Linked DNA regions of Oryza sativa Japonica Group. The main gene of each other region encodes a partner of the protein of the gene in region 2 in a complex. Links are inferred from orthologs where the notes say so. Each region holds a gene or a part of one and is shown on either strand. Other genes may lie near its edges. The genes, in order: mediator of RNA polymerase II transcription subunit 4, mediator of RNA polymerase II transcription subunit 17, mediator of RNA polymerase II transcription subunit 8, mediator of RNA polymerase II transcription subunit 25, mediator of RNA polymerase II transcription subunit 21, probable mediator of RNA polymerase II transcription subunit 26b and mediator of RNA polymerase II transcription subunit 23.

Region 1 (3,407 bases), on a different chromosome or scaffold from region 2:
AGAACGCTCACATAAAAAAAACTCAGTGATCTGTTTATGCATAATAGAATTGTTCCTCACACCAAGAGATGATTGTTTGTGCTTAAAATGCAGCTATGGAAATGGAACCATGTTCTCTTCTCGACTAGTTATTCAATTGCTGTGTCCTTTCTCCTACGCAGTGCAATTATCTACTCTGGAATTGTGCAGTTATTTCAGTTATAATGATTCTCTTCCAACATTTAGGAAAGACCAGAAACAGTTCAATTTCATTATTTCAATATTGTTTACTAAGAGATCTGGCAGATCAAAATTTGTTTACTGAAAAAAAAAAGGGGAAGAAACAATCGAAGCATCCTTACTAAATGAATTGGATTATGAATTACGAATCATTGCTCAACTGCATCGTATAATGTAACATTTAACGACTGTAAATGTTTACTGCAAAATGGAATGAGGGGAGGGGGGCATTTGACGGCGCATTACCTCGAACACATGATGTGCATCCAGAGACGAAGCTCCACTCCCAGCAGCGAGATCCCAAAGGCAAATCTTCTTATCATACGAGCCGCTCAGCAGCAACCCCTCCTTCATCGGACTCCACGCCAGCCCATACCCCTCCGCTTCATGCCCCCTGAGCACCACATCGGCGCCGCCCTTCTCGCCGCCGTCGCCAAGATGGTACACGTGCACCTCATCCACGCAGGTCTTGGTAGCCACCGTGTACGGCCTCTGCGGCATGCAGCGGGCGCGGTTGACCTCGCCCTTGTGCGGCACCGAGCGGGAGATGGACACGGACGGGGCCGGGACGGCACCGCCCGCCGCCGCGGCCGCCGCCGCCAGGCGGGGCGGGAGCGGGAGGGCGGCGTCGGCGAGTAGGAGGTGGTTGGGCGTCTCGTCGGAGGTGTGGGTGCCGAGGACGAGGCGGTGGGAGCGGGCGGAGCCCGGCGACCGGGAGTGGGAGGGGAGCCACTGGACGGTGAGCGACGGCCACTCGAGCGGCTGGGAGATGACGAGGTCGTAGAGCACCGGCGCGTTCTTCTTCCAGTTCTGGTGCTCCTCCATCTCCGCCGCCGACGACCTCGCCGCCGTGGAGGACCCGCCGTCCATGGCTCTTCTCTTGCGAATTGCGCGGGAAGTGGAGGCGGCGCTGTGGTGCTCTCCCGCCAAAAAGATTGGGGAGACGATGCGGCGGAGTCAGAAGAGATGGTGTTTTATGGCCGAGTTAATGGGCTTTTATGGGCCGTAAAGCCCATATAATACAATTTGGAGGCCCATTAGCCCATTAAGAGGAAATTTTGTCTAGTAGCTTCTGCCTCGCGTCCGTCTCCTGCATCCGCAGTCGCCGCCGCCGCCGCCGCGATGATGCAGTCGCACCACCCCTCGCCGGCGCGGCTGGGGCTGACGGCCTCGTCGCCGTCGCTCCCGCCCAACCCGGCTGCGGGGAATCCCACCTCCTCGCCGCCGCAGGGCAACCCTAGCGCGGCGGCGGCCGTGGGCGCTGCCGCTGCCGCTGCACCAACCCTAACTACATCGCCGTCGCTGCTGCCGCTCCTGCCGCCGCTCCCGCGGGCGCAGGCGCTCCTCCAGCTGATCTCCGCGCTCGCCTCCAACCTCTTCGAGCTCTCGCCGAGCCGCGCCGCGTGGATCTCGGCGTACCGGGGGTCACTCCCCACTTTCCTCCCCTCGCCGTCCTCCGCGCCGCCGCCGCCGCTCCCGGCCCCGATCTCCTCCACCAAGGAGGCGCTGTCGCTGCTCAACACGCTCCAGACCCAGCTCTTCGAGGCCGTCGCCGAGCTGCAGGAGACCCTCGACCTGCAGGACGCGCGCGCGCGCCTCGCCCGCGAGGCGCGCGCCAAGGACGCCTCGATCCTCGCCTTCGCCAAGAAGCTCCGCGAGGCGCACCACGTGCTCGACCGCCTCGTCGACGACTACGCCGACTACCGCCGCGACCCCAAGCGCCCGCGCGGCGCCGCGGCGGCGGACGACCCCGAGCCGGTGTCAGACGGCGACTTTGGCGCGTCGCTGCACTCCAAGCTCAACCTGGACGACGTCCTGACGTACGCCCACCGCATAAGCTACACGACCTTCGCGCCGCCTGAGCATGGTGCTGGGCTGCCTCTGCGTGGGGCGTTGCCGCCTGCTCCTCAGGAAAATGAGATGAGGATGTCGCAGCTGTATCAATTTGCGGATTTGGATGTTGGAGTGCCGAAATCCCAGGAAGCAAAGGAGAGGACTGCAGCAGAGGGAGATGCCACTCCGCTTTTTCAGCCTTCACCAACCCAGGAGGCAGCTGTGCTACCAATCACTGTGCCGCATCCGCATGGGTGGCGGAACGGGGCGCTGCCTCTCGAAATCCCGTTGCCGCCGCCTGGATGGAAACCCGGGGACCCGATCACTCTACCGCCGGATGGCATTCTGGCTGGTGTCAAGGGTGAGGAGCCACGGGCCAGTGTGCAACAGATGCCGGTTGTGGTGCCAGCAATGGTGCCGAAGGCACAAGAACCGATACAGGTTCGGCATGTTGATCTTGACATTAACAATAGTTCTAGCAGTGATGAGTACAGTAGCGACGTCGGGAGCTCTGAAGAAGATGATGAGGATTAGTTCCTTGGTAAGCTATTTTATGATTCATGTTTCCATGCCGTTGTAGGTCATGTACTAGTAAGAACAAATAATGCAAGCTCTCATACATGATTATTCAAGATCATGCAGCAATATACTGGTATTGAATAGAATTGGGTGGCGTATCATGTATGTGTTGATTAATTAAACCATCTCACTAGTCAATTTGCTTCGATATATGTAATCAAGCATGATGGTCTAATTTCCTCAGGATGTGCTGGTGTTGTATCGTCAGAAACATGGCTTCTTTTATGGATATTTAAACTTGAACATGGTGTGTTTAATGTTTGATGCCCTTCTTCACAGATTACAGGTTTCAGTCATAATTGCTTGCTAGGCTTGCTAGCTGGTTATGGGCTTTTCAATCAAGTAATGACTTCCATGTTCATGCACTCTGCTTAATTTTTCTCATTGTTTTACCTTATGTCTGTACCTCTTATTGCTGCAATATAGTTTGAAAACCTTTATACCATTGTACCAAAGAGTGGTAGCTGAAAACTCAAGAATGTTCTATAACTCAAGCTATATAAGTTATGAGAAGGGAGTGGTTTCAACTTGTAAGTTTGCACTTAAATGAACACACCATTTTTCCTATCTTATTGCACAGCATGGGGGATCTTCCTACTACAAACATGATACTAGTACTATAGGTCTTAGTTTTCATTCACGAGCTTATCTTGCAGATGATAAAGTAGTAATTGACTCAAATGGGTTAGAACTGCCAAAGCATCATCAGAAGTAACTCCTTTTATAATTTTATTGGTGCATATCGCATCTTTATGTACTTTTTTTTCCCAATTCAA
Region 2 (4,110 bases):
GTAGGTCAATAGGCACAAATGAAGATTTCCTCAGGGAAAAAAACTAAGAAAAATGCATTACCATTGTGCATTTCACATTCAAATGCAAGGAGTTTATGTTACACATTTGCAATGCAAGAAATAGTCTGGCTCATTGCATTATCAATGGACCATAATGAATTCCAATGGTAATAACTTTAATAATTTCATAAACATGATCTACCAAGAAATAATTTAAATAGTATCATCAGAAGTTTACCTGCTGCAGAAGCATTGTTGGGAGGTCCTCCAAGTCACAATTGTAGCTATTTACCAAATATCCATCGGAGGGCTTCCCAGTCAATGATCCAGCAATGCTTGGGGAGCCTTCACCCATTAGACTAATTTGGCTATCTTTCACGATCACCTTAGTATTGAACTGTGACCTGGATTTGTACTTAAGTTCATGGTTATCAGAAGGCTTTGCAATCCGATCTGCAGCAAGGATAGGCTGAGGAACTTTCAAGCATAGAGACCAGGAGGAAGTTCGAGAATGCCAAGTAGGAAGAGAACGCAAATGGAGATATGGAACCCTGCTGACCTGCAATACAGAAAGGAAATTTAAATAATGATCTACATGCAAATATGTAGCATCAACAAGCTTATAGGAGCTATACCACACTCTCAAGCTCCACGAGTACTTTGTTAGAAAATATCCTGTGAGCCACTGTCAAGCAGAAATGACCTAGCAGGCCATAATCATCACCTGCAACCTGAGCAGGACTTTGGTAGCGACCAATGTTAAGGGATTTCTCCCTGACCTTCCTAAGAATGTTCTCATGAAACAATTGTAGCAAGTAAATTTCCAGACTTCTGGGATTAGGAAACCCTGTCACGTCTTTTCTTAAAGGGTCCAGCTTCCCATTCATAGTGACCAACACAAGATTTGAGGCATCCTCTGAATTGGCATGGTCTTCATGGTCTACCATTTCTGAGTCACTACCATCTCCAGAATGAGCAAGCGAGAGGCACAATGAACATTCCTGACCAATAGCTAATTGGAGAAAATCTTCACGCATTCCAGTCACATTGATGCCTTGAGATTGGACAAATGTCTCACGGATCACCATATCAAATACCTACAAAGGCATACACTAAGCTAAGCCACAGAACGATATACATAAATAAATAATGATAAACCCGGGGAGGGAGGGGTGGTGGTGGTGCAAGATGTCATCACATGATATACAATAATTTTCCATGATGCTATAGTTAAAACTTAATTAAGAGCATTCTATACAGGAATTCTTAGCATGCCAAGCAAACACTTAGCTGACCTGCTCCTCAAATATTGACTTGTGGATGTTGCGAAGAATAGAATGTGCATGTTTGATGGATTTATTGACATCATCATTGTCTGTTTCAGAGGAAGTGATGCTTGAGATGCCATCTTTCAGTTTATGACCGTAGTTTTCCACACCATTGGCACTGTCCCCTCGAAAATTAAGACTCAAGAAACGGCAAGATTTTTGAGGGACTTGTACGGACAAAGTGCCTGATGAGTCTTGGTCAATTGGAATCAATGGTAATGATGACAGTCGAGGCATTGCTGCTGTGTCCAATTGAGAAGTGTCGATCAGATCAAACATGAAGCCCTCACTTCCTGGACCACTTCCACCAAACCGTTGCCGCTTCACTTTCCAGTTCTGCTGCAATCTGCCACCAATCCGCGAGTAATTCATGGTGCAAACTTGGGTGAAGTGGTATTGAAATAACAACTCAAGTTAAGCAACAAGACATGCCTGATTAATGAGCCATAGAACCTAGACTCTTTTTGGAACTGCTGCTCCATTGTTTTGGCAGATTGTTTGAAGTAGCGTGACAAATGCTGCGAGGACACAAATGAAGATCACAACAGGAAGCATGATAGATGCAAGACGGAAGAGGAAAGTGGCAAGCGATTACAGAAACAAATTGAGTTTGTTTTAGGTTCCATTTTGTTCCTTAGCCGTGAATTGAAGTAATCAAACATAGGCAGTAGGGTGACATACCCGAACGCGCTGAAGCTTGGTGGCTGCAGAGACTGCGGTGTCAACTAAGGTTTCGGTTGGCAGCGATTTGGGCTTGAGCATCCCAGCGACTGCCACTGCATCATTGGCTTCGACCTGCATTATCAAGTAGGATTGTCTCCTCTGTCAGGAATACAAACAATCGCATGCAAATAGAATGGGGTTTGCAGTATTGTGTGTGGGAAAACTGACAGTGGAGATGAGGTCAATGACGACGGAGAGCTCCTGCTGCGCCTGCTGCAGGCTCTCCATCATGCCCTGCCACGGCCATGCCTGCTGCTGCTGCTGCTGGGCGGTGTCCTTCTTGGGCTTCTTGGCGTCCTTGTCGATGACCCAGGAGAAGTCGATGCGGCGGATGGCGGAGAGGCGCTGCTCCTCGCTGCTGGTGTCGCTGCGGAATCCGAATCTCAGTGAACGGAGAGAGGTGGGGGTTAGGGTTTCAGGGGAAGGGAAGAGGTTGGTTTGGTTTGGTGCTTACGGCGGGTAGTGCTCGTTGCCGGCCTCGTCGATGGCGTGGAGGCGCTTGATGGGGAGCTTGTCGAGGTCCACCCGCACGGCTTCCTCCATGGCGAAGGCGAGGCAGCGGCGGCGGAGGGCTTAATTAGATCGGAGACAATTTTTTGAGTGAAGGAGGCACTGCCTTGGGGCTCACGAGTCCCGCTCAAGAGCGGAAGGGATCCCCCCGCGGGAAGCAGAAGCGGCGGCCGGCGGGGTGGGGGCGGCCGCCGGCGAGGTCGTCGGGCGGCGGAGTGAGGAGGAGCGAATTCTCGATCGAGTTTGGGTGCTGGACTTTGGAGTTTCTTCTCTGGAAGAGAGTATGATGGGCCTTTTTTGACTTTGGGCCGGCCTAACAAGTAAATGTTGCTGGGCTGGCCTGGACCAGTTCCAGACTTCCACTACTCCGAATGGGCCGGAGTTTCTTTTTTTATTTTCCATTTCTCAAGGCCCCTCGGGAGCAGGAATTATCTCCTAGCAATGGTAAAACGAAGGCTTATATCAGAGAGCTTTTTCTTATCAATGCCTACAAGACAACAAGGCCTGTTCTTCTGTTGTTCGTCCATGGATCACAAGTTTCAGGGAACAAAACTCTCTTTGGTGCCGGTGGCAATGATATTCCAAACTCAACCGCAAGTTGTGATCAATCTGCAACGTATCAGGGACGACGGATATTTCACAAAATAAGTAGTAGTATGTCGATTCTTCAGTCCAGCTTCTGAATTCCAGGCCTTTTGAAGTTGAGCAAGCAAGTAAATTCAGATAATCTCTCTGCAAACCAACTATACAGTGAGTGACTGAATTTCTACTTGCGCGGATCGATGTGCCAGAGCATTGCCAATCACAGAAACAAGTTGCAGATGAGATTGTCATACTAGCTTACAATCAATGCCACCATCCGCTCAAAACTCACAGCAATCAATCACAACCTGAAGAAACAATGAGGACAAACCACTGTCCACCGGATCGAGTTGGCAAAACCTGGACGACCAAGGGGGTTCGGAGAATAAAACTCCGACCCCTATTCATGAAAAAGAAAAGCACCGCAAACAATTCGTATCATAATTCTTGCAGGTAACACCGTAACACCATAAGTTTGAGAGAAATGCGCCAAATACAACAAATTTGGCGATTTGTTTGTTTTCTCTTTTTCAAAGGTAGCATATAGATTTGCCTTGATAATAGTATCAACAGATGCAGCGCTATAACCATATATACTCCATTTCTTCTCCATTCCCTTGCTTCATTGATTTATGACATACTCAGAAAGACTAAAATAAGCATCAATTTCACACTTCACAGGCCTGTTGTTCACAACTACTGAGCTGCTGTGTTATTGTATTGCTACTAATCAATACCAGCATCTCTTTAGAAAAATCATTAGCGATACACAGCTTACATTTTATTGGATATCACTGTCATTGTATCACATCCACTCCTCCCAGATCAACATATGCAATCATCATGCCTATGCCAGTTTTTTGCATGGTAAATTCTACTACTACCAGTGGCCCAGTGCCATGTGATGTCAACCCCAACAGCTTTGTATATTATTACCCCTTATTATAAACGCATCATACTCACTATT
Region 3 (4,259 bases), on a different chromosome or scaffold from region 2:
GCAAGAGGACTACTAATACAGGGAAGAAGTTACTAGACAAAACTTCCTTTTAGATGGTAACCTTGCACTGTAAATTCAATTAACAAAATTTAAATTTATAGTGAATGCCACAACATCCCGTATTTATAATAGTCAAAGTGTAGAAATCCTGTGGTATTATGAGTATTTTCTGTACATGTAGGGAGAAGAATGAGAGGGAAAAGCGATTTGAGGATTTCTTTTTTGGGATTCTGGTGTCACAATATAGCTACAAGGAGATATATGCGACGTGTTGTGACGCGGAGGGAGCTGAGAGCGAAAGTGTTGCCTACGTGGCATGCCACGTTGGCGGTCAAACACAGCCAAAGGACGTTTGGACCAAGGTGATACATTAAGGCTGTGTTTAGTTCAGCGCAAAGTTTGGATTTTGGTTGAAATTGGAGATGATGTGACTGAAAAGTTGTGTGTGTATAACAAGTTGATGTGATGGAAAAGGACTGAAGTTTGGATCTAAACTTTGGATCTAAACACAGCCTAAACCAAGTTCACGGACCTAAACGTGTAATTTTCAAGTTCATGAACCTAAGTAACAGCACAACACAAGTTTAGAGACCGGCCATATATTTTACTTAAAAAAAGTAACAAATAGTACCATGATCTTAGCTCCTACTGTTAGCATTGTCCTCAATTTTATGGAAAGCAACAAAACTTGAGATTTAAGATATAAGGAGTTAAATGATATGATTTCAGTGTTCACAAGCAAGAATACTCTACTATAATTTATTGTTGTTTGTAGTACATACAACGCTATGTCTGGGTTGGATTAAAACCTTATAAGGGGTAGTATGAAATTGGCCTATGCAATAGTAGAAGGAGATAACATGGGACCAAAATATTGATGTTTGGGGTTTGCTCAAAACATGAGTTTATGTTGGAGCTAATTGACAAAAAATAGAACATGTCATAAAATGAACTCTAATCATGTAATGTTTGTCATAAATTTAGTACTTCCCATTACAACTTATACGACTTCACTACTTATAATAAAATTATATTAACTATATGTAACTACATTAAAAAACCATGCTATCATAGCATCAGAAGTGTTTCTTCCAAGAAAATTCATTTTTCCCATCCCCAGTTACATGAATATTGGAGCGAATCTAACGGTTAAAAAATCAAAAAATTTCCTCGTGAAATATATAAATTAATCTACTTCATTCGTCTCAATATAAAGCAACATAACATGAAATGGAACGTATCCTATTACTATGAAGTAATTCCGGATACTAAACAAGGCTTGTTGTCTATTTCGCTCGTATCCCATGGTTTACAGGACAACACAAATTGCTCGGTTTTCTTTGGTAAGTTTTTATTGAAAAAAAATATTCAAAGCGAACCTTTTCTTTTTTTCTTTAACAAACTTTGAGCCGATTTTACCGGTTTTCGTGAAAACGGGGAAAAACCACCTCCCCCTCCCGTCCTCATCTCGCGGTCTCCCTCTCTCCAACACTCAAATTCTCCGGCGCCGCCCTACTAACTCCGACGGCCCATCTCCGCCGCCTCCGCCGCCGGCGTGAAGCCATCTCCGCCTCCTGTGAAGCCCCCCAACTCCCGCGAGCTCCTCCACGCAGCAGATCCGGCGAGCTCGGATGGACGCGGCGGCGCTAGGGGCGGCCGCCGGGGCGCCGAACCCGGCGGCGCCCGTAGGAGGGGACCAGCAGCCACGGACGGAGCGGCTCAGCGCCGGGGTGCAGCAGCAGCTGAACCTGGAGGGGATGCGGGCGCGCGCCGTGGGCCTGTACAAGGCCATCTCCCGCATCCTCGAGGACTTCGACGCCATCGCCCGCGCCAACCCCAACGCCTCCCCCAAGTGGTAGTACTTGCCTCACCTCCATTCCCCCATCCCCCGATCGCCCGCTGGACTCTGTAGAGGATTCAGCTTCCCCTTTCTAGGGTTTATGCAATGCTGATTCGTGCCGTGGTGCGTGTATGGCAGGCAGGATGTGCTTGGGCAATTCTCGATGGTGAGCATGGAGCTCTTCAATATCGTGGAGGACATCAAGAAGGTGTCCAAGGTGTTTGTGGTCTACCCCCGAAACGTTAATGCCGAAAACGCTGCCAGTATGCTTGCTGTTCCACTTCTCTTCTCTTGTGTCACCAATCGATCGCTATATCAGTAATAACCACACTAGTTAGGTAGATCCACAAGCATAAAGTTTGTGGGAAGAAGAATACATGAACATAATGTAGAATGGAATTGCTCTGCGTAGTTCAAACCTTCACAAAATATTGCCTTGGGCAGCTGTTACACGCTACCCAGCTAAGCAGACCACTTTTGATTCCATGACCTTACCAAACAGAGTCTTCTCATGTTCAATGGTGCCCAAAGCCAGATGAGAAGACAGGTCACCTGTTATGAGAACCAAGAAATATACTATGTGATTTCTGTTATGAGCAACAAGGATATATGAGATATTATGGTTATGCTGCATTTGGTAATGAGTAGTTCATATATATACATGTCATTTCTTTTACGAGTTGTTTTACACATGAAGAACCAATTGTTGACCTTTCTCACTTCCTAGCAATAGTTATTCCTTTGGTTTAAATATTGAGATTAAACTTCAGGCTGATATGGCTAATTGGCTTTAGTTAAACGAATTTTATCCTAGGGTAAATTGGTAAAGATATTCCTAATGTAGCATGGGTAGCCATTTTTGTCAACACTTTCCTATTTCTGGGATAAGTGTGATAGGAATCTAAAAATGACCTAACAAGATGCTAATTGGTCACGGTTGCTGTATATGGTTGGGATGCATCGCAATTTGTGTTCCCATGTTCATCTGCTTCTAGTTTTACCACATCGTTAGTCCTGTTTGATATTCGTGAGTACTGCAGTACTGCCTGTAATGCTGTCGTCAAAGCTGTTACCTGAGATGGAAGCTGAAGAAGCTACAAAGAGGGACAACTTGTTGTCTGGAATAACGAATCTAACAGTTTCTGGACAAATTGAAAAGTTAAAGGTGATTATTTCTGTCTGGAAAATGCAAACCTATGTAGCTTATTATACCTGCGTGATCTTTTCATTATCTGTTAATTTTAATGGGACTTGCTGCTATTCCTTTCAGACTAGGATAGATATGATTGGAAGTGCATGTGAAACAGCTGAGAAAGTAATTGCTGAAAGTCGCAAGAATTATGGTCTAGGAGCCCGTCAGGGGGCAAATCTTGGTCCTACATTGGACAAGGCACAGGCTGCAAAGATACAGGAGCAGGAAGGCCTACTTAGAGCAGCGGTAAATTATGGTGAAGGTGATAAGCATTAATGGTGTATTAATATAGCTATCAGTTTAAAAATTACTTTGAATTTAATTTTAGCATAAGCTTCTCCTTTTATGTAACAATTTCATTGTTTATAGTCCATGATGATTTAGTCTGATTATCCAGGATTGCGTGTACCGGGAGACCAAAGGCAGATGTATTCATCTCTTCCTAGCCATTTAGTGGACGTACTTCCTTTTGGAGATGGGGCACATAATTTTGGTGATAATTCTGGTCTGTTTCTGTGACATACCTACAATTCTCCATGGTTCACTCCTTGTTTTGAGCATTGGAACTATAGCATCAATGAGTTGTTCATCTGCTCTAGATGTTTTTTTATATAAAAATAATCAATAACTTGCTGCTACCCTTAGTGTTGCCATTTGTGCAGTCTGTATGTCACACAATGCTTCAACAAAAGCATATAACTAGAGTCTATACTTGCAGGTGTGTACCCCAAAAATACCTCAACATTTGTACCTAATGTTGTCAACGCCCAGGGAAATCCAATGCAGGTTTGTCTAGTGCCAGTAATAACAGCTTTGACCATTACGAAATTAATAGAATATGTCCATATTATTGCTAGTTGGGCTGAAAGCAAAAAAAGTTACAAAAGGCAGATGTTTTGTTTCCCGTGTATCAATTTGCCATATAATTTGTAATGGTATATTGGTATTCCTTTCTATGATCAACTGTATTAAGTGTTGGTTAGAATGCTTTCCCTTGAACTATTATTAAGACAATTGCATTTCATAAGAGCAATCACCAACCTGACCTCATGCAGGCCTTTGATGTTTCTATCTTGATGTTCAAATTTGGGCCTTCATTCTAATAGCAGGTGTCTGGAGGACAGTTACTTGGCAGACCTGCTCCATCACCTGGAGCTACAGGAACGCCTAATTTTGAAAATGTATCTACTCCTCCAATGCCATATGCAAACTCCCCTAGGTCAGGGA
Region 4 (3,500 bases), on a different chromosome or scaffold from region 2:
ATCATCACTTTCAGGAGCCAACAACTTTACCGCCCATGGTTTCTGCACCTGCTTTCTCGCATGTAACACCTGTTGCAAATGGTGTTTCACAAGGATTATCATCAGTACAAAGTCCCTCACCGTCCCTTATTTCACAGGAAACTAATCTTGCAAATGATAGTGTGCAAGAACATAAGCCTTTAATAAACCCTATCCAACAGTCAATTCGACCTGGTGGTCCAGCAAATGTCAGCATCCTCAACAATCTATCACAGCATCGGTCAGTGGCAACCATTATATCAGGTGGAATGCCTGGCATCCCTATGTCTGGAACAGGACAGTCAATTGGTAGTCAACAAGTCGTACAAAACACTGCTTTTGGATCAAACACACCCATAACAGGCAATTCAAATATTGCTGTGTCATCTTCTTTGGGTGGCATCCAAAGCAATATCGGTATATCAGGGCCTCCTGTGACACAGGGAGGTTCAATGGGTAGTACGCAATTGGGACAAGGTGGAATCAATACAAACCAAAATATGATAAGTAGCCTTGGGACAACAACTGTCTCTTCTGCACCTGCAATGATGCCAACACCAGGGATGGCTCAACAGGCAGGTGTAAATTCTCTTGGTGTGACCAACAGTTCTGCCATGAACATGCCTATAGTGCAGCATCCTAATGCGCAGCAGCAGCAACAGCAACAGCAACAGCAGCAGCAGCAGCAGCCACCGCCGAAGTACGTCAAAATTTGGGAGGTAAAAGATTCTGTCTTTGTCTAGCATCCATGTAGCAATTGGCTCTACCCTCCAACCCTCTAGTAGCTTAGTAGTTGTTTGCTAAATATAAAAGGAAATATTCCGTATGACACACATGTAATTTAATGTTTTTCTAATTCTGACCATGAGCTGCAATAATATATGCACCCTCCCAACTATTGAAATCGTTTGCCTCAAAAATAAAAAAGGAACTATTTAAACCCTTCTGCTAATCAACCAGATGAGATAGGGCTGTGAATGGTCAGAGTTAGTCTCTTTATTTTTTGGCCTTTTAACAGTTCCCAACCTGCTTTTTCCTTGAGAAAGCCTTCCTGAGATAAAAAGACAACAATTTGAAGGTTGACCTCTGGGAATTCAGCCTGGTGTTGTCCTTTGTGGCAGTGTTTTTGACTTCAAGTGCTGAGTCATGTCCTATTAACCAAAGAAGAAAGTAGTGGACCCACCATTGAAGATGCTGATTATTTTTTCATCCGAGTAAAGCCTATTTTACCATCCTCAACTGTGTTAGTCTAGAAATCAACCTCAGCAGAGGCCCCCTTCGTACCATGAACCATGCTGGTGGTGGAAGGGGTGCGACTATTCTGCAATACCCTATAGACACATGCCACGTGTCTCTAGGGGCAGGTCATTTGCGGCATCAAGGTGACACATAAATCGCCTTGATCTGTTGGCATTAGCAAAGGTGTTGAAGGGTCTAGTTAGTAAGAAACTAACATTAGTCTTTAATCTATTCTCCCCTGTCCTTGTGGAGTTGTGGTGCAGCTGCTTCGATGGTATTGTCTCTCCGTGTGCAAGGACACCTCAATTAAGTGCATAAGAACCTGTATGGCTGTATCCATACCACATTCATTTCATGTATGAAGAATACTTCCCTAAAAGAGCTAACATACGAGCACATGATTATATCTAAATTAGTTTGAAGTCAACTGCTTATTTTTCCGTGTCATTTTTGGTTGTTTATATATTAGTAATGTAAATTTTATGTTCTATTTATCGTGTCTCAAGTTGCCTATGTTGATGATACTGGTATCATCAGTCAATATATGATTTGTTTGTTGTGGATGCATAATATGTAATGTTTCTATTTTTATTTCAGGGAACTTTATCTGGGCAAAGGCAAGGACAACCTGTATTTATCTGTAAACTTGAAGTAAGTTTCTGTTTGTTGGATGAATTGTCTGTGACTCCGACTATTATCACCCCCCTAACTCTGCCCACACAGATGACCTTTGCTCATTATTATGCCCATTTGAAGCTGACTGTCTCAGAAAGAAAAAAAGATCACAAGAATCCCTGAATTGTATATATTATTTGTACGATCATGATTGTTCAAATCTTCTGTTGTCACTGAAATGAAATTATGTATTTCATAGTTTCAGTGTGCACCTTTATAGCTGGAATATAGTGGCTATCCTTTTGTTGTAACTACTTGTCCTACATTTTTTTTTGTTTCAACACATTTATCTGCACAAAGCATATACTTTAGTTAAATTTCTGACTTTTAGCATGTCTCACAGGGTTACAGGAGTGGAACAGCATCTGAAACGTAAGTTTTCGAATTGTTGCAATGTTCTTGCATTCTTTTTTTTTTTTTTGTAGTTCTGTTTTGTGTCTATTAATGGTTGTATTCGAACCAACAAATCACCCAATGTCGGTATGCCCTATTTTAGTATTGTTTTGTAGAAGAACTGGAGCAATGGCTGATTGGTAGCTGCTTGGTATTCACAAGTTTCTGTTCCATGCAACAACTAGTTAAGCCATTGCTTGTTTTTAAAAAATAAACTGTACTGTACAAAAGGTCTACGGTACAAGACCAAAATGGAAGCAACTCAAGTTATAATGTTGGAAGTTTTTAGATATAATCAATGAATGCTGTGGATTTGCTTTATACTCCCTCCGTCTCATATTATAAGGGATTTTGGGTGTATGTGACATATCCTATGTCCAGGTTCGTAGTACTAAGGATATGTCACATCCACCCAAAATCCCTTATAATATAGGACTGAGGGAGTAGTACAGTGCCTTAATCTTGTTAAGTGAATGGAACCTCCAAACCGATCTTGCAAAATTCCTAATAGGATATTTTGCCTAATATAGAAATGTCTTGTTCCCTTGCACTGAACATGTACCTTCTATAATGTCGTTCCCTTGCACTGAACATGTACCTTCTTTGTCCAGACTTGCAGCAGACTGGCCTGAAACAATGCAGATTGTGCGCCTTATAGCTCAGGAGCATATGAACAATAAGTTTGTCTCAGCCACTCCATTTCCATGTTAAAAATGATCCATTCTACATTCTCATAATTTGAATCATTCTCTCTTTTGTTTTTGTTTATTTGTTTATTCTGCAGACAATATGTTGGAAAAGCAGACTTTCTAGTATTTCGGACATTAAATCAGCACGGCTTCCTTGGGCAACTGCAGGAAAAGAAGCTGGTCAGTGCATAATTTAACCTGTTTAATGTTTATTATTATTTCATGCCACAATTATTTGGTCCCACATCTATTGCATGCCACTCATATGGGTCCTTCAACTAGTCAAATTAGTCCCCAAGCTTTGTTAATTGGCTCATTGTAATCCCTGTGCCTATGTGTCACCGCATGTTGTCTCATCTCACTCAAGTCAGCGACTAGGTACCTAGGGTCTCCAGCCAACCTAGAGTATGGGACAACCGAATTCCGTTTGCTAAATTATGTAATATAATTGAAGACAGAAGTAGGCTGCTGTTATGCTTGAGGGCA
Region 5 (4,113 bases), on a different chromosome or scaffold from region 2:
GTCGGCGGCGCGGCCGTGCTCGGAGGGGATGACGTTGGGGATGGTTCGGAGGCGGCGGCGGCGGAGGAGGAGGAGAGGAGGCCGAGCCGAACTGGCGTCCCGCCGCAGTCGCCGGCTTGTGGTCGATCTGCAGGCTGTCAATGCTGGGGTAACTTGCTGCTGTCCCGAAGCAAAAAACAACAATTTTCCAGTGTTGAAATCAATGTCATCCAACAATCCAAGACATGTAAAACGTTACCACTGGATGAATGATGCAAGAACAATGGTAAATGTCAGATTCAATTCAGGGTTCTCGTTCTTGTGGAGTCACTCACATTCAGATGATGCGGCTGCGACGAGGGCACACCACCCAGCTTCTGCTGCTGATACTTGCTCCCGTTCGCCTCCTGCAGGAGATCACCATTGAAGAGGCTGCGACAACCCTAGCTCCTCCTCCTCCTCAGACCATTTCCTCCATGATAGGCTCCCTCCGTGGCCGCGGCCGCCGCGTCCGCCCTCGCGCTCCTCCTCCTCCTCCTGTCCCGCTCGCCGGTAGCACGAGGAGCCGCGTCCACGTCATCACCTACCGCTCCCCCGCCGCCTCTGCGGCCGCGGCCGCGCTCCCGTGGATCGACTGGGCGCGCACGGCGTCGATGAAGGCGGCCCCGGGCTGTTGTCCTTCGCCTCCGATCCGGGCAGCGTGGGTCGGTCGCTGGCGCTGCTCGTGGAGTTCGCTCATGGTCGGCGGCGGCGAGGCCCGGCATGGTCGGGTGAGGCAAGGTGGGAAGTCACGCGGGCGGCGGGTGAGGCTCATGGTCGGCGGCGGCGGCGAGGCCCGGCATGGTCGGGTGAGGCGAGGTGGGAAGTCACATTGTCGGCGGCGGCGAGGCCTGGCATGGTCGGGTGAGGCGAGGTGGGAAGTCACGCGGGCGGCAGGTGAGGCGGGCGGCGTGGCTGGCGTGCGTTCTTTTTTTCGTTCTTTTTGGCGTGCAGTTTCTTTTTTCGGAGCAAGACGCGGTGTTAATCCGGTGCTAATTGTAACCGCAGGATTAATCCGGCGCTAATTGCAATCATGGTGTTAATTACACTAAACAACTCGTGCTTTTTATATTAGTCTAGATTAGAGTCCAAGTCCGATTCAATTAGTGTTAACTAATCGGGTGAGTTAATTGTTAGTAATAGTTTGGTTTAATCCTGGGCCGTCCGATCCATTTGTGTGTGGATCAGATCTGGACGCGTGGTGGTGATGTGATGCAATTTTCCGCGTGGGGTCCCTTGGTTCCTTCGTAATCAAGCTAGCCATGGGCCCACGTGCCAGTCAGAGAGTGGCTTGCGCACTGTCGATGTGCTGGGCCCACCAGTTTTCTTTGATGGGCCTAGATGTAATTGGGCCTTGGTGGATAGAGAGGAGGAGGAGAGAGAAGGAGAGGGAGAAGAGGAGGAGGAGGAGGTCGCCGGCGGCGAGGAGGGGGACGAGATCGCCGGAGATGGACATCATCTCGCAGCTGCAGGAGCAGCTGAACGAGATGGCGATGGTGGCGGTGAACACCTTCGGGACGCTGCAGCGGGACGCGCCGCCGGTCCGCCTCTCCAACAACTACCCGGACCCGCTCAACCCCGCCGCCGCCGCAGCAGCAAACCCTAACCCCGACGACCCCGCCCAGCCGCAGCCTGGAGCGGCGGCGGCGGCGGCGGCGGGAGCTCCGGCTGCGCAGGCACAGGCTCCGCCGGCGCAGGCCCAGCCGCCCGCGCTCGACCTCGCCGAGCATCCCAAGGCCATGAGCCACGCGCTCGTCCTCGCCGCCAAGAAGGTACGCGTCTTCCGTCGCTTATCTTCTCTGCTTGCCACCTGCTCGATGAAATGCCTGAGTGCCTGCTGGTTCTTGGGGTCTGACGCTTTAGGGCTTGGACTGTAATTTTTGGTGTGACCAGCCTTAGCATTTTTGTGTGATTGCAACCACGGTCAGGGTGCCTGGTTCTTTGAAAATTCTTCTACTTACAGAATCATATCTTCTATAGTGAGATTGTTCATGTAGTGTGGTAGAGTACTTTAGTTGCATTGTGCTGTTTTTTAGCCCTCTCGAGATAATTTTGAATGGATCTGCAAAATAGGAGCTTCACTCATATTATTCCTCGCAAAGAAGGGTTGACGATGATGTGGATCACACCAATCTTTGTACTGTTCCTCGCAAAATGTAGGTGGGATGATGGTATGCAGCACACCAACCTCTGTCTCCAGAGGGCAAACTTTGCATCTGAGAGTACACTTGAAATGTGCTACTAGCTACTGTTTCCAATACCGTTCTCTTTTTTTTTTGGTTTTTTTATGCAGTTTGATGCTCTTGTTTCTGCGTTGCCACTATCATCTGAAGAGGATCAGCTGAAAAGAATTAAAGAGCTACAGGTATGTCTCAGTTTTGCCCTCTGAGCAGTACATTGTGAAAGGGTGACATTAAGCTAGTGTCTTGTGAAGATGGTATCTTTGTGCATGTTTCCTTCTGTTTTTTTTTTCCTACGCCTTGTGGATGGAGTTTCATACTAAGGTTGTCCTCCTTAGTCGCTTGCTTTCTTCTGAATGAAGGTTTAGCAGACGCTCGGCAGCATGTCCTGCCATAGTATCAGTATTCATGATACTTGTGTCCTGCAGCTAAAATGCTTATGAATTTGAAATGCGCAGGCAGAGAATGAAGTTGTAGGCACAGAGCTTCAGAAACAACTGGAAGCTGCTGGTATGCTTTGCTATTACATTCTTGGAATATTTTGCCTTCATTATATAATTCCTCACCATGTTACAACTGATTATTTACAAGTCCAGTGTTTTACATGTCTTGTTGCTTTTGTAGAGCTGGAGCTGAAGCAAGTTGAGGCTCTTTTTAATGAAGCTACAGATCATTGTATAAACTTGAAGAAGCCAGAGTAATAGTTATCAATGTAAGTTTGGATTTCTCCCTTCACTATCTCAATAAATCTTTAGCTTTTTTTGTGCTTGCAAAAAATTATGCTTGCGCTTATGATATGGGATTATTTTGTGACCAGCTGTATAATCCGCTTGACTTCCCAAACTTGGTACACTGTATTATCAGGAAGTCAGGATACTGATAACAATTTTGTTCTTATGGTGCTTTTTGCAGTACAATATTCTACATGCACCATTTACTAGATGGCTGTTGGCATCATGTCCATGATCAATTATTGGTTTATGTAGTTTATGTACGATGATGGCCTGAACAAAACATAATTATGGTGGATGTTGACCTGTTATATTAATCCCTCGCAAGATGCTTTCATAAAACCCTCTGGGGGCTTGTCTTTCTGTTGATCAGAAAATTCCAACACAGTGTTGTTACGTATGATCGTAGTATCACTAAAATGACTTATGTTTGCTTTCCTGTCATATCAGGTAACGGAACCCATTTTGGAGTCATGAACAGATGAAGGTGGAGATGTGAATGCCAGCTGCCGATGCTACATGTAGACTCAGTTTTAGTATCAAGTTAGCTGATGCTCAACAATATTCCAGTAGTACTTGTTGGATTAGGAATTAAACCTAGCACTGTAATTTACAGTAACTTGAATAGTTTCAAGCTGGTTCGTTTAATCTGAAATAATTTGAGCATAACTTCATGTTTATTTATTATAGTTGGGCCACTGTTCGTTCACAGCAGCACAGGACCATATAGTGCTATGCAAATACAATTAAGACATGCCTAGGATTCATACTCTTTGAACTTTGAAGAACTGCACTGAAGATATGGAACAATATTATCTCGGTATAAAGCATTCCTCTCTAAAGATTACCCAAACATTGAGGCTAAACATGACTTGAATTCTAGCAACTCTGACACTGAAATATAGAACACCATATTTTCTAGGGGCACTTGGACAAACAAAACATCCCTTGAAAACTTTATTTGTCAAGCTCCAGAGATTGGCTGGCTAACTTGGAGCAAACTCTCAACTCAGGCATACTTGCAATTGCCAGAACCTGCAAAGGTTGGCAAGAAAGCCATGTAAATTTGCAGGATTCAGGTGAAAGAAACAGCAAGTGAAGCAAGCTTTGAAGAGGCTAATACTTACTGGGATCAGTGATGGTGATGAGGCCAGTGCCGTTGAAGAAGCAATTCCATGAGTTCC
Region 6 (4,036 bases), on a different chromosome or scaffold from region 2:
GAATTCGACTATTGGTGACTTGATAACTCTCATCGGCTGATTCCGAGATGCTACAGCCGATAATGATTCTAAGCCGATGACGCCTTTGTCGATTATCAAATTTCACTGTTAATAGATAGCTCAGTTTTTTATAAATAGAAAGGAGTATTTGCCGCCTAAATATTTTCTTTGATGATACAGCGTATATTGCTAATCAATCTTGATCGCCATTTACTAATCCAAGATTTCGCTACTACATTAGCACCTTGTTTTGAAAAGGATGCTAAAAGTACTCCATTCTTTTTCTATTCAAAAAAGAAGAAGCTATACAGAGCATAAATATTTCTTTGATCCTACGGTGTACTACTGTGCTATACTATATCAAACCATCGATTGGCATTTACTAATCCAATACTATTTCCTCGCACCATGTTTCGAAAATGATGCCAAAAATAGTCCATTGGGCCTCAACAATTAATAGTACTCCTAAAGCACATTCTCCATTCCATAAAAAAACCACCCTATTACCGAAACGTGACACATTCTAATACCACAAATATATTTATATAGATACAATCCAAGTTTACTTTTTAAAATTTGAGTGGCCTACGGCGGCTACGGTTGCATGCACGTATTTTCTTGGTTCCATAAAAAAAATAACATAGTGTTGAACGTCTATTCAGATTTATAGTATTAAAATATATCATATTTCGTACTAATTTAGTCTTTTATAGAATTGAGAGAGTACTCTATTCATCTAAAAATGGACAATCCTTCGTAAGTTGAGTTTTTCTTTTGGGATGGAGGTGGGTACGTGCATACAACTGGTTCACATACTATAGACACTTATATATGAAACAAATAAGAGGATGATCCTATTATATAATAACAGTGATATTATGGTAGATGATGCTCACCTACCCAAGTTTGAAAACTAAACTTGAATTAAGTGGATATCAAACGGGAATCATTAGCCCAATAAACAAAAAACGAATGCTACTATTACCAACCAAACACTACAGGAAAGAGTAGTACTAGTCCCACTCCCACCAACAACAGTTGAGATCCTCTCCAGTACTGCATGTGCCGTACTGCTCACTAATATGTGGGCCCGAGGGGCTATAGGGCTCACATGTCAGGGAGCCTACTGCATGAGAGGACCTGCATCCCACCAACAACTCGACAGGGTCAAAGCCGAGAAACAGCCACGAGGCCGCCTCCCTCTCCAAAACCGTAGTGACCTCGCCCTGTGTGGCTGTGTCCCCAAACCCGGTAAAAAAAAGGGCCCCCCCGGAAAGTCCTAGACCGAGAAAAGCTGCGACCTCCGTTGCGCGAGAGAGAGAACGAGACGAACGGAAGGAGTTGGGAAAGGGAGACGCGAGATTTGTTGTTACCACTAGGAGGCCATGGTGGTGGTGGTGGTGTGCGTGCGGGGGAATTAGGAGGAGGAGTAGTTGTTGTTGTTTGGTAGAGTCGAGCTTGCGTAGTTCTCGTGGGCTCTCGTTTTTGCGTTGCGTGTGCCTCGCCATCCGCCGCGTCCCTATCCAACCCCCCTCCCCGCATTCCCTCTCCCCCTCGTCGTCGTCGTCTTCCTCCTCCTGCGGCGGCGACGGCACAGATAAGATTTGGTTAGGAGCTGTTTTGTTTGTTGGGTTGAAATCGTCAAGTAACGTGGACGTGGGGGTGAAGCAAAGGAAGGGAGGGGAGATTGGGTTTGGGTGGTGTGAGGATTGATTTGTTTTTTTTTTTTGGGGTTTTCTCTTCTTGATTGATTCGTTCTTGGCGTTGAGGAGAGGCAGCGGTGTTCGTTAGATTGATTTTTCGCTGTCTCGGGAGAATTTCGCTTTCCCGGTTGGGGGATTCCCTCGGTGGGGGGCATCTGATTCGCGATCGGGTTGGATTAGATTCTTTTGGTGCAACGTAATCTGATAAGGGGAAAAAGAAATTTCAAGATTGTGAGGAGGAGGAGGAGGAGGTGATCGAGAGAGGGCATCGATTCTTGGTGGTGCCAGGGGAGCCATCGGAGTCGTGGGGGTGGAGGTGGAGGTGGGGGGAGCCCGATCTCGGGTGGCCGCGGCGGCGATGGCCGACCGGCTGGATCGGTGGCGCGAGCTCCTCCGCGGGGCGGCCGGCTCCGCCGGAATCTGCGACGTGATCGAGAACGCCATCCTCGTCGCCGCCGCCGACGCGCCGCAGGAGCTCCTGCGCCGCCGCGACCGCATCTGCGAGATCCTCTTCACCGCGCCGCGCGCCCCGCCCTGCCACCACGGGTGCGGCAGCGCCGCCACCCCGACCCCGGCCACCCCCGTGGAGGAGGACAAGGGCAGCGTGCGCCGCGTCCCCGAGAAGCAGAGCAAGGTGGACAGCAGCAGCAACGGCGCCCTCGGCGGCGGCGGCGGCCGCCGCGACGACGTCGATGACGACTCTGACTCTGACTCCGACGACGAGCGCCTCCGCCGCGCCGCGGCGAGCAACTACGGTCACAACTACGATGATGACGACGAGGAGGAAGAGGAGGAGCAGGAGGCGGCGCCGGCTGAAGAGGACGAAGAACAAGAGCTGGACCCCGAGGCTGTGGAGCTTGAGGCACTCACCAACGAGATCGACGAGGAGTCACAGGTCGTCGGCGAGGTTCTCCGCATCAAGGACCTCTTCTTGCACAAGGAAGATCATGTATGATGAACTATTCCCAGCTTTCAGTTCTTCCATGAGTAAGAGTTGTGCCATTCCTCAACAGGGACTTAACATTTGATCTCAACTGTGGTTTTCGCAGTCGGATGCTACTTTGTTCGAATCACTGAGGAGGCTGCAGCTGATGCAATTGTCCGTTTCCACGCTGAAGGTACTGTGTTGGATAGCGCATATGAGCTATGCGGAGTGACGCATAGTGGTTCTGTTTGGTTTGCTAATCTCCGATGTTGTTTGTTGTAGGCTACTGAGATTGGGAGGGCTGTTAATGGGCTGCGGAAGCACAACTCGCAGCAAATTCGTCACCTTGTGCGCACTCTCATTGAGTAAGTTCAATATGCTTGCACTAAATTTCATTCTCTAGGGCTGATCTAGCTTTTAATTTAGAGAACTTGCTGAAGCAAATTGATACTCTACTGTACCTATAAGTTTCTGAAAACATGATACGAGTCTACTGATTTAGCTTCTGTATTCTCCAGTCTTTGTACTACTTGAGTGAATTATTTACCTTATTTGTAGTGTGGTTATTAACCAATTTTGGAAACATTGTTGACGTCTTAAAACATTTTTTTTTCAGAGGTTGGAAAATTTTGGTTGATGAGTGGGTCAGCACCACTAATGTTGCCCTTACAGGTAATAAAAGTTATTTTGTTTCATATCGCGTATGAGTCATCAATTTGTAAGTGAATGTTCACCTCTTAACATGTAATGGATCTTTTGATCTGTAGACAACTCCCCGGGCTCTTCAAAAACATCTGTTGTCGATGATGCTGATGATGAAGGGCTTCCTTCTCCACCTCTGGATGAAGGGGCGTTCTTTGCAACCCAGACTACTGCTATTCAACTCTCTGAGGTACTAATTTTTGTTTGTTCCTGGTATCTGGATTGTTTTGGTCCAGAACACAATTCTAACTTTGCATTGTTGTTTTTCTTTCTGCTTCATCTTCCTGACCTAAAGTTCTTTGATGAAATGGATGAAGATGGAAGTAAGTACAACAACTCAAATTACATAGTTTCCCTTTTTTTTCTGTGCACTATAATAATTCAAGTTATACATTTTATGACAGACTTGAGACATAACAATGATGGGAGCCTTGGAAATAAGAGAGAAAATTATGGCAGGAGGCCTACAAGCCATCCAGCTTTGACAAAGCAAGAGCCTCCCCGTAACATGGGAGCTGTTGAAAAAGTTCAATCCAGGAGGCCGGAATTGGCAAGGCAAGAGCCATCAATGAGGCAGGCTAACCCACAAACCCCTCAAAATTCAAGTTTGCAAGTCAAACAGCAGGCCATGCTTCACAAGCAATCTAAGCCCTTGAGTTCTGATTCTGGACCTGGGAGACCATTAAGGGCAGCTCCTCAGCAGAAG
Region 7 (4,232 bases), on a different chromosome or scaffold from region 2:
CCGAAAAACACGGTAATTAATCAATCAATCAATCAATCAACGCAAACTTCCGGCGCGTGTCGGCGGGCGTGTCTCACCGTTGGCGATGCGTGTGTGCGTGTGTGTGTGTGCAGGGTTCACGACGGCGCACACGTCGTGCTGCAACGTGGACACGACGGTGGGGGGCCTGTGCCTGCCGAACTCGCGGCCCTGCAGCGACCGCAAGGCGTTCGTCTTCTGGGACGCGTACCACACCTCCGACGCCGCCAACCGGGTCATCGCCGACCTCCTCTGGGACGCCATGCCGAGCGCCGGGAGCGGGGGCGCCGCCACCACCCCTCTCGCCGCGTCGCCGGCGCCGTCGCCGTCTCGGGCGCCTTAGTTCACCGATCACGACGTACTGTAGTGTGTCAATTGTGATGTGTACTTTTGTAGCGCCGTACGTGCTCGTTCGCGCGGATTGTTCTTGGAAGCGCCGGTGCTGGGTACTAGTAGCTGGTCGAATTCACAAAATTCGTTCAAATTATGTTTTTGGGACCATCCCAATGGGACATATCAGATGTGTGATATGTAGGATCATCCTTGAGTTCAATATACTCCAATATTTGTAAGAGTCCTAGCATCGATGCTTTTCGTTTTATCACTCAAAGCCAAAAATTAAAATTTTAAATTTAATTTCATAGTAGTTTTTTTTATCGTGATTTATTTTCAGCATTGGTTTTTATTCAATCTCTTCTCTATCTCTATTATTATAAAAATTAAAGATGTTTTTGCCGGTATTTTGGTACGTCATCCGTATTTGAGTCGGTTTTTAAGTTCGTTCGTTTTTGGAAATACATATCCGTATTTGAGTTGGATTTTAACCTTGTTTCCTTTTGGAAGTATAGAAGGAATCGTATAAAAAATCTTTTGAAAAAACTCGCATGCTAACTTGAGATGAAATACAGACTCCTAATTGCAGCTCATGATTTTTTTTAAACAATAAATATCAAAGTGAATTCCCACATTGAATTTTACCTTAGCTAAATTGTGTAACAATAATAAAATTAAAATAACATTTACTTGTTGCAATGTACGTGTATTTTTTCTAGTAAGGACAAATATATTAAAGTTTTAATATAAAATCATCACGACTTATAATTAGCTGTACGTAAAATAATGAGACCAAGCATGATACTACCTATTCCACCTACGTTAAAGAAAAAAGAAATGAAAGGAGTATATAACCGGATGGTATTTGGTAGCTTTCGATTATATGGCCACTAATTTGAACCACAAATATACCAGAGAACATGTTTTTGTTCTGTTTCAATTTCAATTTTTCGACCCAAGAGAAAGGTAGAATGCATACCAGCGGTCTGGATCCGTCTCCATGCAGCTGAGACTACACATCCCACCGTCCGTTGATCTGTTCCCTTTCCCCCAAACTGCAAGAGCTCATCAGGTCAGGTCCGCCACACTCCTAAACCCTCGGTCGGAGCAAGCCCACCGCACCACTCCAGTCGCCGGCGACGGAAGCGGCGCATCGGCGATGGACGGGGCGCACGGGCAGAGGCAGCCGATGTCTCCGGCGATCTCTGCTTCGGCGGTGCTCCCGCAGCAGCGGCAGATGCAGCTCCACCACCACCACCACCACCCGGCGCGGTCGTCCATCGCCGATCTCTTCACCCTATACCTCGGCGTGCGTGCCTTGTCTCTCCTCCCCAATCTCTAACCGTGGTGCACTTGTGAACGCTAGCTCAGACCCTGGGTTTCTGTGATTTGCAGATGAACTCGAAGCAGCGGGTCGAGGATCCAACTAGGGAGACCTCGTAAGTTTGATTTCCCACTTGTTGGACTTCTAATTGGGGATTACTTTTTAGGGCTAGCTGGATTGCTCGAGGGCTCGAGCACATGAAACATTATGATAGGTTAGGTCGGATTATTTTGTCCTTGTCGTTCGCGCTTTGTTCAACTTTACCTTTGAAGGCGATGGCTTCTGCAATGTCCGGAGATTTTTTTTTTGAAAGGAATTCTGGAATATCCGGAGATTATTGCCGCAATTTTGGAACTAGTGTGCTGTACTCTAGCGGTTTTTCGTGCCTTGTTCATTTTGATATATGGTAGTTTTTGGACAAAATTTGATATGGTAGTTTGACGATGGAAGTCAATTCAGCAAGCTTTTCTAAAACTGTAATGCATAATGGGCATTGAATTTCCTCAGGAACAAGTTGCAGAAGAGAGTAACTGCTATGAACAGAGATCTGCCTCCCCGAGATGAGCAATTCATTTCGGATTTTGAGCAGTTGCACATGCAGTTCCCAGTAAGCAGAATCATTACGCAAGTACTTTTGTTTATGTCATGAGAACAGAACAAATTTATTATTTGATTTGCATGTTTCTTCAGGACCAAGAGCAGCTGCAGGCAGTTACGGAATCAGTTCTCATCTCATTTGTCCTGCAGTGTAGTAGCCACGCCCCACAATCTGAGTTCTTGCTCTTTGCCACACGTTGCCTGTGTGCTCGAGGCCACCTTCGATGGGACAGTCTCCTTCCTTCTCTACTTAATGTAGTTTCCTCCGTGGAGGTACCAATGGGGCAAGGGGTTTCTGTGACTACTGGTGGCCCGGCAACATCTTCTTCATCAGCTATTGCAGTGCCAAATGCCCCAAGCTTTCACCCTTCAAATCCCACATCTCCATTGTCAGCAATGAACACTATAGGATCTCCCACTCAATCTGGTATCGACCAACCCATAGGTGCAAATGTCTCACCCATTAAGGGAGCAGAATTCTCTAGCCCTGGACAGCTTGGTCTGACAGCTAGAGGTGACCAGTCTCGCAGGGGAGCAGAAATTAGTTATCTGCATCACTTATCCTGTAGAATTATTCTAGCAGGGCTGGAGTCTGATTTGAAGCCAGCCACCCATGCTGTGATATTCCAGCATATGGTAAATTGGCTTGTTAATTGGGACCAGCGACCGCATGGTGTGGACCAAGCTGATGCATTGCAATTGCAAACCTTGAGGCTTGAAAGACCTTTGCATGAATGGATGCACCTATGCTTAGATGTGATATGGATTCTAGTTAATGAAGATAAATGTCGTGTTCCATTCTACGAGCTTGTTCGCAGCAACTTGCAGTTTCTCGAAAATATTCCTGACGATGAAGCACTAGTTAGTATTATTATGGAGATCCATAGGAGGAGGGACATGGTATGTATGCACATGCAGATGTTGGATCAACACCTTCATTGCCCAACATTTGCAACTCATCGGTTCTTGTCGCAATCATACCCAAGCATAGCTGGTGAATCTGTTGCTAATTTGCGTTATTCTCCCATTACTTATCCAAGTGTATTGGGAGAGCCGCTACACGGAGAGGTGATATTACTTTTCCCCCTCTTTACCCACCTCTCCCCTTTTAAGTTTGCCATTGAACCTGTATGCATTGACTTTGTACTTGTGGACTGAAGCTCAATTTTTATGTTCATCCGATATGCTCTGCACATATTTTGACTGCATAGAGATATTGCAGTATTCTTTGACCACATTGGGGCTACGAGCCTACGAGATTGAAATTAGTGTCGCAAAATGGCTGGAATATCCTTGCAAACTCTTTAGGATTGTTGTAGTATCCTCTAACATTAACAGGGGATGACATGCTAACACATTTTGTTTGAGTGATCATGAATAATTTCACAGGAGGGAGAAATAAACGGAAAAATCGCAAAGCATCATAACATGCAGAGGCAAAATATATTTTGCAATTAAATTTCAACACACCGCATGTTTTTCAAGGATGGATCAGGAAAATTGGCAGGAAATGAATAGATAATTGAGCTATTAGTTACTAATGTTGGTTTGGGTAGGATCTGAAATCTGATATAACTTTGTTGTTTAGGATCTTGCAAACTCCATTCCTAAAGGGGGTTTAGACTGGGAACGTGCTTTGCGTTGCTTGAGGCATGCACTCCGCACAACTCCGTCACCAGACTGGTGGAGGCGTGTTCTTCTTGTTGCTCCTTGTTATAGACAACATCCTCAACAATCATCAACGCCAGGAGCTGTTTTCTCACCTGATATGATCGGTGAGGCAGTTGCTGACAGGACAATTGAACTACTGAGGCTCACGAACTCAGGTTAGAATTTGAAAGTTAACCATTTACCTTGTCAATATAATAAAGTTCCTTTTTCAAGTGGACAGCTGATGGGAATATAAATTTCAAATGTTCTATTGATGCACCCTTTTCACTATTTTTTCTTTTAGAACGTG

What was found.
Region 1: mediator of RNA polymerase II transcription subunit 17 (region 2) and mediator of RNA polymerase II transcription subunit 4 share a complex: the UniProt entries of both Arabidopsis thaliana proteins name them as parts of the mediator complex. The link is inferred for Oryza sativa Japonica Group from reciprocal best matches to the Arabidopsis thaliana genes AT5G20170 and AT5G02850.
Region 3: mediator of RNA polymerase II transcription subunit 17 (region 2) and mediator of RNA polymerase II transcription subunit 8 share a complex: the UniProt entries of both Arabidopsis thaliana proteins name them as parts of the mediator complex. The link is inferred for Oryza sativa Japonica Group from reciprocal best matches to the Arabidopsis thaliana genes AT5G20170 and MED8.
Region 4: mediator of RNA polymerase II transcription subunit 17 (region 2) and mediator of RNA polymerase II transcription subunit 25 share a complex: the UniProt entries of both Arabidopsis thaliana proteins name them as parts of the mediator complex. The link is inferred for Oryza sativa Japonica Group from reciprocal best matches to the Arabidopsis thaliana genes AT5G20170 and PFT1.
Region 5: mediator of RNA polymerase II transcription subunit 17 (region 2) and mediator of RNA polymerase II transcription subunit 21 share a complex: the UniProt entries of both Arabidopsis thaliana proteins name them as parts of the mediator complex. The link is inferred for Oryza sativa Japonica Group from reciprocal best matches to the Arabidopsis thaliana genes AT5G20170 and MED21.
Region 6: mediator of RNA polymerase II transcription subunit 17 (region 2) and probable mediator of RNA polymerase II transcription subunit 26b share a complex: the UniProt entries of both Arabidopsis thaliana proteins name them as parts of the mediator complex. The link is inferred for Oryza sativa Japonica Group from reciprocal best matches to the Arabidopsis thaliana genes AT5G20170 and AT5G05140.
Region 7: mediator of RNA polymerase II transcription subunit 17 (region 2) and mediator of RNA polymerase II transcription subunit 23 share a complex: the UniProt entries of both Arabidopsis thaliana proteins name them as parts of the mediator complex. The link is inferred for Oryza sativa Japonica Group from reciprocal best matches to the Arabidopsis thaliana genes AT5G20170 and AT1G23230.

Annotation. Positions count from the first base shown.
Region 1 is NC_089043.1:25,716,283-25,719,689, reverse strand, and holds mediator of RNA polymerase II transcription subunit 4, read left to right. Parts: upstream 1-1,266; 5' UTR 1,267-1,341; coding exon 1,342-2,586; 3' UTR 2,587-2,907; downstream 2,908-3,407. Other genes in the region: histone-binding protein MSI1 homolog, read right to left, coding at 466-1,089. UniProt on the Arabidopsis thaliana protein: Component of the Mediator complex, a coactivator involved in the regulated transcription of nearly all RNA polymerase II-dependent genes.
Region 2 is NC_089046.1:28,095,916-28,100,025, reverse strand, and holds the start of mediator of RNA polymerase II transcription subunit 17, read right to left. Parts: upstream 2,801-4,110; 5' UTR 2,595-2,800; coding exon 2,506-2,594; intron 2,419-2,505; coding exon 2,220-2,418; intron 2,124-2,219; coding exon 2,010-2,123; intron 1,847-2,009; coding exon 1,761-1,846; intron 1,675-1,760; coding exon 1,296-1,674; intron 1,098-1,295; coding exon 636-1,097; intron 560-635; coding exon 239-559; intron 1-238. UniProt on the Arabidopsis thaliana protein: Component of the Mediator complex, a coactivator involved in the regulated transcription of nearly all RNA polymerase II-dependent genes.
Region 3 is NC_089037.1:18,123,615-18,127,873, forward strand, and holds the start of mediator of RNA polymerase II transcription subunit 8, read left to right. Parts: upstream 1-1,459; 5' UTR 1,460-1,631; coding exon 1,632-1,855; intron 1,856-1,978; coding exon 1,979-2,103; intron 2,104-2,880; coding exon 2,881-3,005; intron 3,006-3,110; coding exon 3,111-3,294; intron 3,295-3,429; coding exon 3,430-3,537; intron 3,538-3,750; coding exon 3,751-3,818; intron 3,819-4,138; coding exon 4,139-4,259. UniProt on the Arabidopsis thaliana protein: Component of the Mediator complex, a coactivator involved in the regulated transcription of nearly all RNA polymerase II-dependent genes.
Region 4 is NC_089043.1:12,252,243-12,255,742, forward strand, and holds part of mediator of RNA polymerase II transcription subunit 25, read left to right. Parts: intron 1-14; coding exon 15-737; intron 738-1,854; coding exon 1,855-1,908; intron 1,909-2,275; coding exon 2,276-2,304; intron 2,305-2,936; coding exon 2,937-3,005; intron 3,006-3,109; coding exon 3,110-3,194; intron 3,195-3,500. UniProt on the Arabidopsis thaliana protein: Component of the Mediator complex, a coactivator involved in the regulated transcription of nearly all RNA polymerase II-dependent genes.
Region 5 is NC_089042.1:2,025,008-2,029,120, reverse strand, and holds mediator of RNA polymerase II transcription subunit 21, read left to right. Parts: upstream 1-1,351; 5' UTR 1,352-1,466; coding exon 1,467-1,790; intron 1,791-2,091; exon of another isoform or gene 2,092-2,174; intron 2,175-2,311; coding exon 2,312-2,383; intron 2,384-2,656; coding exon 2,657-2,708; intron 2,709-2,822; coding exon 2,823-2,899; 3' UTR 2,900-2,910; intron 2,911-3,379; 3' UTR 3,380-3,613; downstream 3,614-4,113. Other genes in the region: major pollen allergen Ole e 10, read right to left, coding at 3,939-3,964, 4,057-4,113. UniProt on the Arabidopsis thaliana protein: Component of the Mediator complex, a coactivator involved in the regulated transcription of nearly all RNA polymerase II-dependent genes.
Region 6 is NC_089039.1:20,347,261-20,351,296, reverse strand, and holds the start of probable mediator of RNA polymerase II transcription subunit 26b, read left to right. Parts: upstream 1-1,236; 5' UTR 1,237-2,061; coding exon 2,062-2,652; intron 2,653-2,752; coding exon 2,753-2,821; intron 2,822-2,910; coding exon 2,911-2,993; intron 2,994-3,244; coding exon 3,245-3,300; intron 3,301-3,395; coding exon 3,396-3,520; intron 3,521-3,625; coding exon 3,626-3,653; intron 3,654-3,734; coding exon 3,735-4,036. UniProt on the Arabidopsis thaliana protein: Component of the Mediator complex, a coactivator involved in the regulated transcription of nearly all RNA polymerase II-dependent genes.
Region 7 is NC_089036.1:31,045,629-31,049,860, reverse strand, and holds the start of mediator of RNA polymerase II transcription subunit 23, read left to right. Parts: upstream 1-1,432; 5' UTR 1,433-1,510; coding exon 1,511-1,660; intron 1,661-1,746; coding exon 1,747-1,790; intron 1,791-2,182; coding exon 2,183-2,282; intron 2,283-2,365; coding exon 2,366-3,340; intron 3,341-3,860; coding exon 3,861-4,098; intron 4,099-4,232. Other genes in the region: GDSL esterase/lipase At5g37690, read left to right, coding at 1-12, 114-361. UniProt on the Arabidopsis thaliana protein: Component of the Mediator complex, a coactivator involved in the regulated transcription of nearly all RNA polymerase II-dependent genes.